2 linked regions of the Lepisosteus oculatus genome follow. The protein of the gene in region 1 binds, or shares a complex with, the protein of each later gene. Links are inferred from orthologs where the notes say so. Each region holds a gene or a part of one and is shown in the gene's direction. Other genes may lie near its edges. The genes, in order: ripk2 and tumor necrosis factor receptor superfamily member 16.

What was found.
Region 2: the proteins of ripk2 (region 1) and tumor necrosis factor receptor superfamily member 16 are in contact, whole or in part, in an NMR structure (PDB 2N83), measured with the Homo sapiens proteins. The link is inferred for Lepisosteus oculatus from reciprocal best matches to the Homo sapiens genes RIPK2 and NGFR. Residues at the interface, in NP_003812.1 of Homo sapiens: Gln437, Ser465, Arg466, Asp467, Leu468, Met470, Glu472, Asp495, Ile496, Gln497, Gly498, Glu499, Glu500, Lys503, Ile523, Leu524, Val526, Ser527, Arg528, Ser529, Pro530, Ser531, Leu532, Asn533, Leu534, Gln536; in NP_002498.1 of Homo sapiens: Gly334, Leu335, Ser338, Leu339, Pro340, Lys343, Val347, Ser354, Ala355, Asp357, Arg360, His361, Gly364, Glu365, Tyr368, Pro370, Ile373, Asp374, Leu398, Asp399, Leu401, Leu402, Arg406, Arg407, Ile408, Gln409, Arg410, Ala411, Asp412, Val414.

What each region holds. Positions count from the first base shown.
Region 1 is NC_090701.1:25,469,369-25,477,175, reverse strand, and holds the start of ripk2 (receptor-interacting serine/threonine-protein kinase 2), read left to right. Parts: upstream 1-4,728; 5' UTR 4,729-5,363; coding exon 5,364-5,554; intron 5,555-7,807.
Region 2 is NC_090723.1:1,253,584-1,260,951, forward strand, and holds the start of tumor necrosis factor receptor superfamily member 16, read left to right. Parts: upstream 1-4,132; 5' UTR 4,133-4,437; coding exon 4,438-4,473; intron 4,474-7,368. UniProt on the Homo sapiens protein: Low affinity receptor which can bind to NGF, BDNF, NTF3, and NTF4. Forms a heterodimeric receptor with SORCS2 that binds the precursor forms of NGF, BDNF and NTF3 with high affinity, and has much lower affinity for mature NGF and BDNF.

The sequences.
Region 1 (7,807 bases):
TGGCAGGGAACAAATACATTGGAATGCACTATAACTAAAACCCTAAAGTTGTCTTTATGGCAGAAATGCTACTGTATACCAAATCATCTTGCCAAGATAAGAAGATGCACAGCTTTTCCCTCTGGGCTTTGTGTTCCGCTTCAGTGCACAAAATCACAGATACAGAGTGCAACCTTTTATCCTTCCTGGGCCGCTGAGGGATGAGAATGTGAGAGACTCAAGTTCATGCTCAAGATTCCCCTTTTAAAATCAGACTTTCTATATCTGGCTAGCTGCTAATCTATTCTATAATAGTTTTATGGAGAGTTATTGTTGTTATTATTGTTATTGTCGATAGTGATTGCAGTAGTACCAGATGTACTGTAATTCAGTTAAGATCAAAGCAGAAGCAGTACAGAAATATTCAATTGAAAATGATACTTTCCCAAGAAAGCTTCAAGTGCTATTCGCACCTTGAGAAACCACAGTCAGTATACTTCTGAATACACTTCTGTATCTTGTTGAAAAGTGCTCTGTTCAATGAAATTCTCAAGAATGTTGCTCTGACCTAGGGGATGACCTTGAAACACAAGGCAAAAGGCTTGGGCAAATGGATGGGTTATTAGCCAAAGGAAACTTTAAGGTAAAAGAAGTTTCATTATAATTTCATGTTTAAATTAATCAGTTTTTCAAAAATAGTACAAACCTTTATTCCATACTCTGGTTCAGAAGGCTACAGAAAGGAGCCTTGTTATTTTTGCATTAACAGGCAGTCTGTAGTGCTTTTAAAGGCTTTGTTTCTGATTATATTAGCATGATGCAGTTACAGATAGTGCAATTAAGCTTCAAGTGATGATGAAGCAGTTAATGTGGCTTAAACTAATTCTATTAGAATGTTTCATAACTATTGGACAATCATTCTGGACAAAATAAAGCAAATGTACAAGAAAAAGAACAAAGTGGACTGATTACAAAAATAGTGTTTTGAAAACAAAATGTAACTGCAACCATTGTAAATGTGTTTCTTTAAACAAACAAAGACCCGAACATCAGCCTCTTGGTATTCTGGTGAGTACAGCAAAGCTCTGGTAGAGGGATGTTGTACATATGTACAGTGAGCCACCTCAGAAAAATTCAGCCAACAAGTGTTTGTGCTGTGCCCTGGAAAAGAAAAATACAGCTCAGAGCAAACTAGTTTAAACATATAAATAGTAAAAATGAAAAATGATTTTTTCAAGGGTAGCAACATAAATTACTAAAGAAAAAATGAATCTTGTTACATTCCATGCAATGTTCTTCCTTATTTTTCCTAATATTTAATTACTAACACTCATGTACTGCCACTGTAACAAAACTGTTACAAAACATAAATAGATCTGATACAGGCTGATTAAATGAAATGTGGCGTCTACTCTCTTTCCTGACAGTCTGTTTCATGTAGCTGCAATCGTATTGGTAACCTCAGTATAAACCTCTGTAACTCTGTGAAAAATAATGAAATCCCTTAGCTTCCTCACAGGAGTGAAAAAGCACCTCACAGTTTTAGCTTTCTTGTCATTGAAATTATTCATAAATTTTGAAAAAATTAAGATTTAGAAAAGAAACCAGCATTCAACGCTATTCAAATTCAGTTTAAAGCTTTCGGGAAACACCTACACAGAACCTATCAACATAATATCACCATAGTTTGCTGTGTGAAGAACTATTATGAATGTTGTTGACCCATCTAAAGAACTGATAAAAGAACACTGTGGGAGCAACGAAATTTGTCACGCACACAAGTGGAACTATAACATATATTTATATATTTTAGTGTATAATACAAAGCCTACCACAGGGTGGGGCCATTGAACAGAGTCCAGCTTCTCTGTTCCTCTCATCTGAAGGCTCCATTGTATAAGGAATTTCCAGTTTAAAGAATGTAACCTTTATAGTTTCTACAGAAAATTACATACAGTATTACATATATTTAAAATTCAATTCAGTGAGGAATTGTCCCTAGTGGGTCCCATCATTCAAATAATACAGTATCATTTTAAACAGAAAACAGAAGTGACAAAACCAACAGAACAAAACCAACCTTGCTGTACCCACAACAAACATTTTATTTTTTATTAACTTTTTCTATCTATCCATCCATTTTCTTCATCCATTTCAGGGTCATGGGGGAGCCAAAACCTATCCCAGCAAGCAATGGTTGCACAAAGACACAAACACAGACAAATACACATGTGGACCAGGGCCAATTTTTCCCAGAAACCAATTAACTTATTAGTATGTGTTGTACTGTGGGAGGTAACAGAAACAGAGCACACGGAGGAAGCCCACACAATCACAGAGAGATCATACAAACTCCACACAGATAGCAGCTTAGATCTGGAATTGAATTTAGGGCCCCCAGTGCAGCGATGTTAACCACTGTGCCACTGTGCAGCCTCCTCCCCACTTAATAAAAATGGGGGGAAAAAAAGTGAAAAAACAAAGATTGTGATTGACAAAAAGGCAAAACCAAGGAGAGCAAGGGGTTGCCAGTCCTGGTCCTGAAGGGAGAATGTCTCTATGGGTTTATTAGGTCTTAAAGCAGCAGCACCTGGAGTTCTGGGAGTAGCTGTTATAACGGTCCAATTAAGCCACTAATAAGCTGATTCAGGTCATTCCAAGCACAACTGAACTGAAGACCTCTAGAAAACCAGCCCCCCAGGACCAGGATTGGGAACCCCAGCATGAGAGGCTTTATCAGGCCAACAGTCATAAAGCCCAGGAACGGAGAGAACCAATTTCTGTCTGGACCTGGACTCCTCGGAAGACACACCGGTGTTGGCATCGGTCACACCTCACCAAAGAAACACTTCGGGATCAAAGTATACAACACTGGTAACTTCTGCCATGCCTTCTGGTATTTGGTTCTCCCTGAACTCTTAGTGATTTGATTGTAATAAACTCCCCACTTAATTGGGCTATACAATCAATATATATACTTCTACTGTTACCATGTCTTTATTCATTGAGGATTATGATTCACATTTTAGCTTATTTATTTTTCATTCCACCCCTCAACCCCATACTGTGGTTTGCATTGTTATAGTTTTCTAACATTTGTAATGTTTGTGTTCAAAAAGAAATTGTCCATTCATATTGCTTTAGCAATTTCTGTCATTCCTTTGAAATCCACTCTTTGAATTAAATTGAAAAATCATGTAATCCACTGTATAAATCCTGGTGGTCTGATATTTCCTAGAACCAGGAATGAGGATCACTCCTTGTAGAAATCTGTACCTTGTGGAAGTTTGAACAAGTATGTTCCACGCTGTTAAAGCCCCTGACATTTTTCAAGAATAGACTGGATGTGATTTGGGTTAAATAGCTTCTAGCAGCTAAATAAATTGTGGTCTTGTTTCTAATGTTTTTCTTACCATTTGTATCATTTGCATATACTGCACGCAACAGGTGAAAGGCAGGACATACACAGACTCAAAGCCATGCGTGCACAGGGAGAATATACAAACTCCACGCAGATAGTACCCCAGGTCTGCAACTTGCAAGTCAACCTAGGACCCGAGCGCTGTAGAACATTTTATCTTCTGTGCCATGAGTATTTATTAAATCAAGCACCTATTCAGAAAAAAAAACTGAACTAGTCTACAAGGACCATTTCATAAAATTAAAAATGTATTAGCGATGTTCGAGCGTTGTTTCGGTGATTCTATCATATCCAAATTTAACCATACAGTGTATGGCATAAACATATTCAGAACGGATAGTGCAATGGGTGTACGATAAATGTGTGCTCGGGGTATATGTATAAATCACACACGCAGACGATCTAGTGAATGGAAATCCCTCTCGTGGCAGCATTTAAATATACTAATTATACACTCTAACGTCAGTAAAGTCGAAAGTTGGAATTTCCCAAATATCATACGTAATGTTGTGCAATATGTCAGCCCGTTTAAAGAAAAAAAAAACAAGTTCCATCTCCCGTTTTACAACCTCAGGGTTTGTATATCTGCAGTTCAAGAAAACGATTTTATAAAAAAGGCACTTAAATAATTATTTTTTTAAGTTCCATCAATATACTGTACGTAATAAAGCAGGCCTACACCAAAAACCACTGTATCCTATTACCCAGCTCTAAGAGCTGTTTTGCATCACAACACGCTGGCATCGTAACACCGGAACAAGCTGTCTGAACTCTCGGTCACAAGACAGGGCTGCCGTGAGATCCTGCAAATGAGCGGGTGCTGTAATGTGCTGGCGGTCTGCTTCATGTGAAGGATGTAAAATTATGCTGAATAAAATGTGCCGATTGTAAATTAACGGTCTAGTTATAAAACCCTTATAGAATAAAATAATCTAGTGCCGTCTCTTCTAAGTGACAAAATGTACTGTACGGCTGTTCGTGAGATTTGGAAACTACTGTACGAGTTTGACCTAAGTGGGATGACAGTCTCGCTGTAATGAAACCACTTCGATATTGTAAAAATGAGCATATAAATTAACTCTTCTCACATGACACATACTGGAAACAAGATGAGAGGAGAAGACACGCACCATATAAAATCAAGCGTTGAAACTGTCGTGTCAGGAAAGTCGGTTATGATGATATAGCGCCTGCAAACCAAAACCCTCTTTAGTGCTGTTTATCCTTTTTGCCGAAATAGCAACAGTGCGTTTCATGGCATGTGCTGAAACTCGGTAAAATGAGATAAAATTCTGCTTTTCAGTGGGCATAAGTCGAGAATCTGAATATATCGACGCAAGGTATTGCGTGATGGTTTCTCGATTGTACGGTAATTTTTACATTGTCAAACCCGGAAGATACTTGCTTAGGAAATAACCTGTAGGACAACTATGCAGCCTTAAGCTGTATAATACATTCGTCCAAGCAGCTGGGAGGCATATTTTGTATGACGCGGTGTGTGTGGTTTAGAAATACACATCGCGAAGGCGCAAAAACGCAATAAATCGGTTAACATCGTTCGCCGCAGAAAACATAGGGGTAAAATAAATATAAAACACCACAACCCCCCGACCATGTCTGCCGATTTCATTACTTTTTCCGCTGAAGATACGACCACTTCGGGATTTGCACCTCACACCTGATTGCCTTGACGGTAATAAGAAGACCTGGCGGAAATGGGGAAAATATTCTGTTTCTGCGACGTCTGCTTATTTTAATTTGGTTTTTATTCATCACTGTATTAATTAGTGGAGTTGGACTGATTTTTTCTTGGTAGTTTACTATAACTAAAACGTATTAGTATTTTTGTCTGAGGTTACGATTTCATACTCGGCTTTGTACTGTAGTTTTCAATTCCGCTTCTCCTTACTGGATTGCCCTCCCTTTTTTGAGGCCTTTGCATTTAAATATTATTATTACTACCATGGAGCATTCGGGCTGCGTTAATATTTGCAGCCTGACCAGCACTTTGCCGGTCATCCCCTATCAGAAACTGACGGACTTGCATTACTTGAGCCGAGGCGGCTTCGGCACCGTGTTTAGAGCCCAGCACTCTGACTGGAGAACCACCGTGGCCATCAAGTGCCTCCAGCTGGACTCCCCGGTTGGAGAAAGGTGGGTTAACCGAGTCGTGAGCTTGGGGAAAACAACACGAACTATGTAAGCAGAAAAACAAATGCTATATTAGGCTATTGAGATGGTTTCGACGGTATGGCTTTTGAAGTGGCCTTAATTTGACCAGTATGTTTTCGCCACTGTCGACTTAAAACATTTTTTTTCTTGCGAAGTTGATTCGTGTTTCTTATGTCTTTCTTGTCAATAGTTGTACCTATTTGACAGTCACTGCTTCTTGAGATTTTTTGTAATATTTCACATATTTTTTATTGATACGGAAACACAGTAATTCGTGTAAAAATTCTCTAAATGTTTGGAGGCTACAGTATGTGGTGAATAACGTTTCTAGCCCATCTAGACCTCCAGTTATCTAGCAGGCAGTGAGTTCAGATCTGATTTCTCAAAAAGGAGGAAAACACTACTGGTGCAGGATGCTCGGAGGTCCGTGGTCTAGGATAAGATTGGTGTAAAAGCGAGAAAACGTTTGTCTTCAGTTTAAAGACAGTGACTAGCAGACCAGTCACGCTGCGCACGTGCGTCCAGTTGTTGGCTGTCAGTTCGATCGACAAAGTTCTACTGTTGTCTGATAGTCATCAGAGTTAGTTGCCCGTTTAGGCAGCGAAAATTGGTTTAATCCATTTAAACTTTCATTTACAATTCATTCTGTGAATAGTAACAGTATTAAAGAAAGACATATTCTAAAGTAGCATTAATAGTTCTTTGAAATACAGTGCTGCTTGAAAGTATGTGAACCCTTCAACTTTCATACGTTTTACCCAAATTATCTTTAAAATGTTATATCTGAACTCCAATATTTAATGACAATACCCAAAATAATGGACACACATATATATATCGTTTCATTATCTATTAAATGTTTATTTAACAGAAACTAAGTGATTCCTGTGTGCAAAATTAATTCAATAAGCAGTGGCACATCCTTTAACAGCCTTTAACAGCTATGACAGTCACCAAATGTTTCCTATAGTTACTAATGCATCTGTTACATCTGCATCTGACTCCGCCATTTCAAAACAAAAGGTCTTCTTAATGTATTCTTTGGTAGATTTCCTGAAATGTTAGGGTTATTGTCATGTCATTGGACCCTTTTTTCAGCTCAACTTCAACTCATATCATATTATCAATATTTTGGTATGACTGACTTCATAGTTCCTTTAGTGATCGTGGGCCATCCTGGTTCATGGGCAGAAAAGCAGCCTAAAACCATGACACTCCTACCAGCACGGATAAGGTTTTTTTGGTGGTAAGTCTTTGCTAAACAAAGCATTTTTTGTTGCAGCCGAAAAGATTAATTTTAGACTCATCCATCTAGAGACCATTCTTTGAAAAATCTACAGGGTCATTCAGACGGTCTTTTCAAAGACACACAGCTATGTTCTTTTTTTGAGAGCAGAGGTTTTCTGTTGGCTTCCTTCCGATGAATGCCATTGCTATTCAGCTCATGTTGTATTGTTGAGGAATGAACATGGACATCATCCGCAGCAGGAGAGGTCTGGAGATCCTTGGATGTGTTCCTGGGGTGCTTTTCCTGTATGATGTATGATGTATGTCTTGTTACTCTGTGTGGTCAGTTTAAAGAACGTTCACATCTAGGTAGTGTTTACATCTAGGTGGAGTCACCATGGTTTTAAATGTCCTCCATTTGTAGATTATTAGTCTTACAGTTGACTGATGAAATTGCTATGGTTTTATAACCCTCTTGAGACTATTGAGCTCTAACAAAACTCTTACTGAAGTCGTATGAGGTCTCTTTAGATCATGTCATGGTGTATTTCACTAAGTTTAGTATAATACAAAATACCATGATCTAAAGAGACCTCATGGGTAGTGAGTATGGGTAAGACCAAATTTAATAGGTTTCTTACTTTTGTATAATAGAAGGCCTCCCAAACTTTGTCCTGGTGATTGACTTTTTGATTGTTTAAATTGGTACCTAATTATTTATTATTCTTACCTTGATAACTGAGCTAATGAACCTCCGCTTACTTTTGCACATGCAGTAATTCGTATCTACCTATTTTTTTTTCTATTACATGCATCAAGTAAGGACTAGTTTTGATTAAATGAGGATTTCATAGTAAAAATGTAACATTTAAAAAGTTGCACTAGGGGTTCACAAACTTTCAAGCAGCATTATATATTCATTAATTTATGTTATCAGTAATTGTCAGCAGGTTATTTGCATTTTATGAAGCCAGGTCAGTGCTACTTTGGATTTCGAATTTAAGATAA
Region 2 (7,368 bases), on another chromosome or scaffold:
GTGATTAGGTTCAATGTAACTTCTGAAAATGCCAGTTTGTCTAATGCAGCAGGAGAGGCAGTCAATCAATATGACAGGTACTGTATGTGCTCAGCTACAGTTAGGAATGTGCAAGCCCGGGATTTTTGTCATCAGAGGCTCGTCATCTCAGAGAGTTAGATTCCATTAACATTGATCTCTTTGAGGTAAAGTATAAATTTGTGCAGTAGGTGGGAAACCATACTGTACTTGCTGGCATTTGGACACCAGTCATTTCTCATTATTACTACTGTTAATCCTTAATATACCGAGTGCAGCAGTACCTCTGTGTCGTCAGGGCTAGATCATTACAGATTGCTTTATCATTGATCTGACAGCACATCGGCATGGAATTGAAAATTATATGTGGAAAACACTGGAGCTGAGCATTGGTTAATTTAAAGCAAATAATTACTCAGATCAAACTAATGATCATCATTAGTCATGTTGTATTATTGCTGTTTGAATTCAAAGATCTAATTTAGTTACTCCATACCACTCCAAGCCAGTACACTGTAAATGCTAAGCAAACTGCTTTTGTTCTTTGCATTTAGAACAGAAAACTTTCACTGTTCTAAGGTGTAAGATACACACAACAAGAGGGACATTTTCTGTGCAAAAGCAAATATTTAAGTTTTTTTTTACTACTGTGGCAAAGGGATACTATGGTATATCATGCTGAAACAACACTTTGAAATAATGGGACAAGTACGGCCAATTTGCAAAACAGGTGTCTTTTTTAGTATTTTTTATGGGAACCCCATCAAATATGTTAATAATTACTAAGGGTTTCTTTATTGATTCATACCCTGTGTTGCATTTGCAAAGTATTGCGTTCTGGAGGTGAAGGGTTAAAATGAATGATGAATTTTACTTTTCTAGGTGTTGTACTGGCATGCTGGCTTGTACTTCTGCCTCACAACTCTTGAGACACAGACTGGGTTCTGGAATGGACTCCTTCTATCTGGAGTCTGAATGGGTTTTCATCAAAAGCTCCAATTTAGCCTGGCTTCCAAAGACAGGCTGGCTGAGTGAATCACTTTCTCTGTATGATCTGTGTCTGTCCTGTGATGGACTGGTGCTTCTGGTCTTACAGGATAGGCTCTGGGTTTCTGTTATCTTTACTTGGTAACATCAGTTTTCAATCATGGCTGGCTCTCATTTAGACATTAAAATTCTCACCTGCTGCTCTCAGTACTGAATGCAATTCTTGAGCAAAACACCAATTTTTAAATGACTCAAAACTGTGCTCTGGGATACAGTATTGTGTAAACGTAAAAGGCAACATGCCAAAAAAGAAACAAAAACTCACCACTGCCATCTGCAATCTGATGCCCAGTTTACACCACAACCTGAGTTACAGTAACTTATACAGTATATAGTGACCCATGTAAGGAGGTCTTAGTCCCAGAGCGCTTATCCAATGTCTGTCGAAGTTTATGTGTAGAGGGTATTCACTGTGGTGACCTTTGGAGACCTGCATGTTACAAGTTTCATTCTTGTGTCTGAGAAGAGAGGCATTCTTTTGTGGGATAATGTGTCTTTGTGCTTAATTGTGTACATGCGGATTACATACCTTTCTGTGTGAATGTAGACACAGCCTAACATACAAAATTTCATGTGTGCATGTGCACATGTAAGGGTAAAAACATTCCTGATATTCAGACTCACACAAAAAGCTTAAATGAATAGATGACCTCTAATGACCTCTAAAAGACCCTCATCAATTAAGGCCTTCAGCAGCTGTAGGATGTGGGCTCATCGACCCAGGCAGGAATCAATGGAATAACATTTTAGAACACACGGTCGCCGGCCCCTGTAATCAGAGCTCTTGTGAAAAAGATCTCAGGTTGACTTCCTCAAAGCTAAAGGAGCTTTGTCATGTCTTTTCAAATGAGGGGGTGTACCTGTATCTCTGCAGTGTGGCTGGAGAACAGTAGGGGGTGTGTGCTTCTGCTCTTTGTTTCTGATTGGCTGCAGCCAAAATCTTTTGCATACTTATTTTGATATCACTCATTGTCCTTTATTGAGCTCTGCAGATACATAGGACTATTCATCTATGAATCTTTTCCATGTATTTCATATGAAGGTAATTAGATACTAGACTGGTACTAATAAAAATGTCTGACATTCCTTGGAAGCATCTATAATACAGATTTTAGTCAAGTCTAACCATCACAGGATTCCTGATGTTCCCATCAGTAAGTGCTTCCATTTCCAGTCATGTACATTTTCACTTGTGGCCCCTTATCCTTTTTCAGCTGTTAGCTGCTGAAATTGAACATGGGCTGCATTCCTCAAGCCAGGGGTCTGGAGGTTATTCATTTCTCTTTAAAGCACCAGAATCCTGAAGAGATGGGACAAGCTCATTATTGGTCATATTAATCCAATAAAGAGCTCATTCTGTCTGCGGACATCCAAGCTGGACTGAAAGACAGTGGAAACAGCAGTCCCCCAGGACAAGGTTTGGGGAACCTTGATTCCCTGTCACTGCAAGTCTTTGCCCTTGCTAATCTTAAACAATCAAATTGACCTGCTCTGATCTGGGTTAATGAAGGATAAATTCAGTGTTTAAATTACTGCAGGGTACAAAGCAACGTAATGTCATCTCTCACAGCTTGTGCTCTTAACCTGAGTAATACAGAATGGCGAGTGGCTAGAGGGAATTGAATCCAGGTGCCCAGATTAAATACTCCTGCTCTCCTGCATTTTCCTCTCAACTGATGCCCGCTTGCAGTGAGGCCAAAGTCTCGCAAGTGTTTTCTAGGCAACAAAAACTGAAACTAGTAGCTCTGCGTTGAGCAATTTGATTGACAAGTTGCATCAACCTGTGTTTGTAAGTAGTGGTGACAGGCAGAGTTTCAATAGAGGTGCTGAACAAAGCGCTTTTCTTTACAATGAGGCTCAAGGTGAATGTAAAACGAGGTTATTCAGAACAAAACATTATTTAGGAGCTCAACAAGTGGTAGAGGTGTGGTTAGGGATCTGGGCTTGTAACGAGAAGGTTGTGCGCTCACATCCCAGGTGAGACACTGCAATTGTCCCTTGAGCAAGGTGCTCAACCTGAAGTACAGGGTCCTGTATTGTGACACAGCTACACACACGCACACACGGACGCCAGTTAACCTGCCAGTATGTCTTTGGACTGTGGGAGGAAACCGGAGCAGCTGTAGGAAACCCCTAGAAACACAGGGCTAACAACCTGCACAAAGACAGCACCCCTCAGATTGAACCTACAGTTCCAGTGCAGTGGGGCAGCAGTGCTGACCACTCCAAGCTGGATAAATCAGTTCAAAAGTAAGATACTATGGACGAAGTCAATAAATATATAAATTTATAACAAAATGGGAAGGGAGTGAATATATACATATACAGTACTGTATAAATTATATAAAATCCACAGGAGTACCAGGGAAGAATTATAGACAGTTTTGGGACATAATCAGAAGTGGAAATGAGAAGGGGGCTTTTTTAGAATAACAAACACTTCTTTGCTGCACTGTTTTTTATCATGGTTCTTTCTGATCTTGCCGGCTTTTACGTAAATTGCGTTGAAACAACTGGACTGCAATGACAGCAAAGATCCACCTCTGAATCGCACGAGTGTTTTGCATGGTTTGTCGCCCCCTTGTGATCCGCTTTATGGTTACACAACGTGCTCTCTCGCTCTGATGTAAATACCTCTTCGCGGTAAGGTGCACTTCTGAATGTACCTGAACATTACATTGTAGTCGTTACTTACGTGCATTTTGTAAACCAATGACTTCAAACTGATTCTCGGTGTGCTTCATAATTACATGGGTGTTGGAACAGTTTATATCTGAGTGATATTTTAAATTAGACTTAGCTGACATACGGCTCAGATGAGACAGACCGTCAAAAATGCAATTAAAAAAAAACAACTAAGCAAAAACAGAAAAGACAATTACTTTTGTACGGAGAAAGTGTCATACTCCAGCATATTCTTGATTGTATTATTAACCAATCCATTACCGGGCTCTTTCCTGCGGCTGTGTAGGATGCTCGCTCTCGGAACTGAACGAAACAGAAGGGGAGACAACTGCTTGTGTGCTGTCAGATCAAGCGAAAGGGGGAGTGACTCGCATTGGTCCCAAGCACAACCCGTGAGAGGCGGCTCGCCGCTATGAAAGCAAGAGCTCGGCCACGTCTCAGCCCAAACGCGCAGAGTCTCCTCTCCTACCTGCCAGCCTGTCGCTAGATTCCCAAAGGTCCGGCACTTGGGATGTGAAGGGAATCACCGAGGACTGCTATCGACCGACAAGCCGGGGAGAGGAGGACGATAAAGAACACATTCCAGCGAATATATTCATAATAAACTTTTTTTTTTCGTAAAAGGATACTGATATTTTATTGCTAATAAGAACCAAGTCCGCCGTTGAAGCCGTGCCGGGGAAGATCATGGGTAGCGCGATGTTGGTAGTTCTTCTGGGAGCGGTGAGTGCGCGTTTGCTTCTTCCTTGCAGTTTCTGAGCGGTTGTTGGCTCGCCAGGGAAGTGGCAGAGCCTCTTTAGTTAGCGAAGGTACTGGGCCAGTGTGCTGTGCGCCGCGGCAGGAGGTGCCTGCCTGCCCAGTGACAGAGGCTGTTTTTGATACGGGCTCCAGTGCACTGACAGCGCAATGTCAAGAGCCAGGCACTGTTTCGGGAGTCACTAAGACTCGCTCTTTCTCGCACCAGGCACCCTGCGGGTCGACAGACCGCCCGGGGTGATGTTTCGCAATTATGTCCAGAATAATTTGACAGGCAGGTGCCTCAATGTTTTGAGTCAGCTCTCCCACACAACAGGTGAGAAAATGTTTAAATGGGCGTGCGAGTTTGTTATTTCCGTTTTTCGCTGTGTCGAGGCATGCTTTTCTAAACGGGATGAATCGGTAAAACCTCAACGCACCGCGGCAGAATGAGGCACAGTTGTCTGAAGTGGGGAACATCTGTTGGGATGTTTTAGATTGGTACATCTCCAGTACGAGGATAACAATGCTAAAAATAATAACGAAGATTGTTTTGCGGTATAGTCTGAAGCAATACACTGTACAGCTGTGCACCGCTGTTTCTGAGCGGAGCTGCCTCATGCACGTCTCTGAATTATTTAAATCGCATTAAACTGTAAGCAAAGTAACCAGCGGCTTTTAGGGCAGCTCTTTACAGCGCAGCGCTAATGTGTGGGGCTAACCTTAAGTGAAGCCTCCACTTAGAAACGAAATCATCTGGTTGGCTGCCTGCTACCAAAGACAATTAGTCTCCCTGAATAGACCACAAATACACAGCGCTGCCTGCTTGCCTGGCCACGCTGCTTCGTGTTGAGCGCGTCGCTCGGAACCCGTGCTGGGGCTCAGCTTCAGACCCGCCAGCTCTCCCATGGAGACCCTCGTTATGCCTTATGCCTTTTCAGACAACTTGCAGCTTTTCTCCGCAATCAGAGCATTTGCAGAGGCATCATTTATGATGATACATATTGTCGCACGTTGAGTGGTTGTCAGAAAATTATGTGGCCTCGTTAAAAGTGTGCTGAAAAACTGGATAGCTGGAAACCAAGCTTGTATTATAGTGAACTCTTAAAAACTGTAAGACATTTGTCTCGTTTTGTAATCAATATTATAACCCCAATGGCGTTGTACAACCCAGGACGCTCTGAGACGTGATGAGGTTTTAAGTTTTCTCTGAGATTAAAAGAAACTGATAGCGCATGCTATCCATTGACTGTACCCACACGAATAAAGGTGTATATTTATTACAGGGTTGCAGAACTGATCGTAAAGGTAAACCACAATATATTATCCTGCAGTAGTCAATTGTTTGTTCTGACACCACTTGTCAGAGGTCAACTAGAAAACGAGTTTGAGTCTTCCATCAGACAGGTAACTCATTTGAAGTCGAAGTTTTAAAGTGAGGAAACATATTATTATCCAGTTCCAGGGCTTTAAAAGGCTGTAAGCAATCAAAACCAGTTCGGCCTGCAGAGACATACCGTACCATTTTCACAGAGTGAGTGCTAGGGATCAGATAATCTCTTTTTGCATTTCTCGTAGAGGAAACGCTCATATGATCTCCTGCCCACACTGGATCAGATATGCCAAACCGTTGCTCAGTATTTTTGGTAAATCTGTCACGAAAACAGTTTCCACTGTGACCTTTAGCGCAACACACTTGGCTGAGGGTGGCGTTGTTTAAAAAGGTCGCCGGTAGAGAGAAATTAATATTGCATTCTTCAGATTAGACTTCACGGAAGCCTGTTAATATTGGCGTCCTGGCTAAATCGAACAAACCCAGTTTTCCAATTAGATGCAGTATATTACAGTAGGTCTAATTGGGTCGATAACGTCATTTATATTCATTCTTCTACCCCACCTCCACACACACACCCATGAAACGCTTAGGTTGCCCCAGAGTAAAGGTAAGGTGTCTTCACCGCATAAAAGAAGGGGGAACGCGATGGCCTCGCACTTATGAAAGAAGATGACAGCCAGGGGGATACAGGAGAGATTCCTGTAGATTACTAACAAGTACAGTAGCTCCCTTTTGTAAAGATTAAAGGATCAGTGTCATCGCAGGCGTGATTGTGCCATTCCTTAAGTCTTCAGTTTGAACATTAGACATTTCTGACGTGTTGCGTATTATCTGCGAAACAAACAACCAATAAAGCAGATGTAAGGATCTGATGGTTTCGGGAGAGAAAGTACCCTCCGGCTAATAAGGTCTTAGAATACCATTCGAGACGAGATAAATCCGCAACAATTTCAATCCGGATGGATTAACCAAAATTAAACGGTCAAATGTGTCTTTTGTTAAATAAATACAAAATGTATTCGGTTCCTACGAAGCTGCTTACGTGCTCATGCTACATTTTCTTTCCTGATTTTGATTTTAACACATGCGAGACAACTCATTTTTTTCAATTTATATATCGCAGTGCTTTATCAGCAGTATAGTAGAGGCTATCCTCATAACTACAAGACATATATACCCAAATATTGAAACACAAGCAATAGCTTTTCGAGGTATTATGATAAATTGAATAGGGTTGGGACATTTTAATTTAATTTAATGTAACTGAAATATAAAGCTATAAAAATGCATGTGAGGAGCTTGTGATTCAACTAGTTTGGTTGTATAGTAGGTAGCGGTTTGATTCCATCTTATCCAGTTGATTCTTGAAAGAAGCCAAGACATTTGCTTCAATAATGACTGGGTAGCTTGTTCCAGACTCCCATAGCCCTTTGGTAAAAATATCTCCTTTCCTAAGTTTTAAATACACTTCTCCAAAGCTTCCATGAGAGTCAGTTCACATCTGTTTCACTGCCAATTCTGCAGAAGACGATTAGGTGACTTACCAA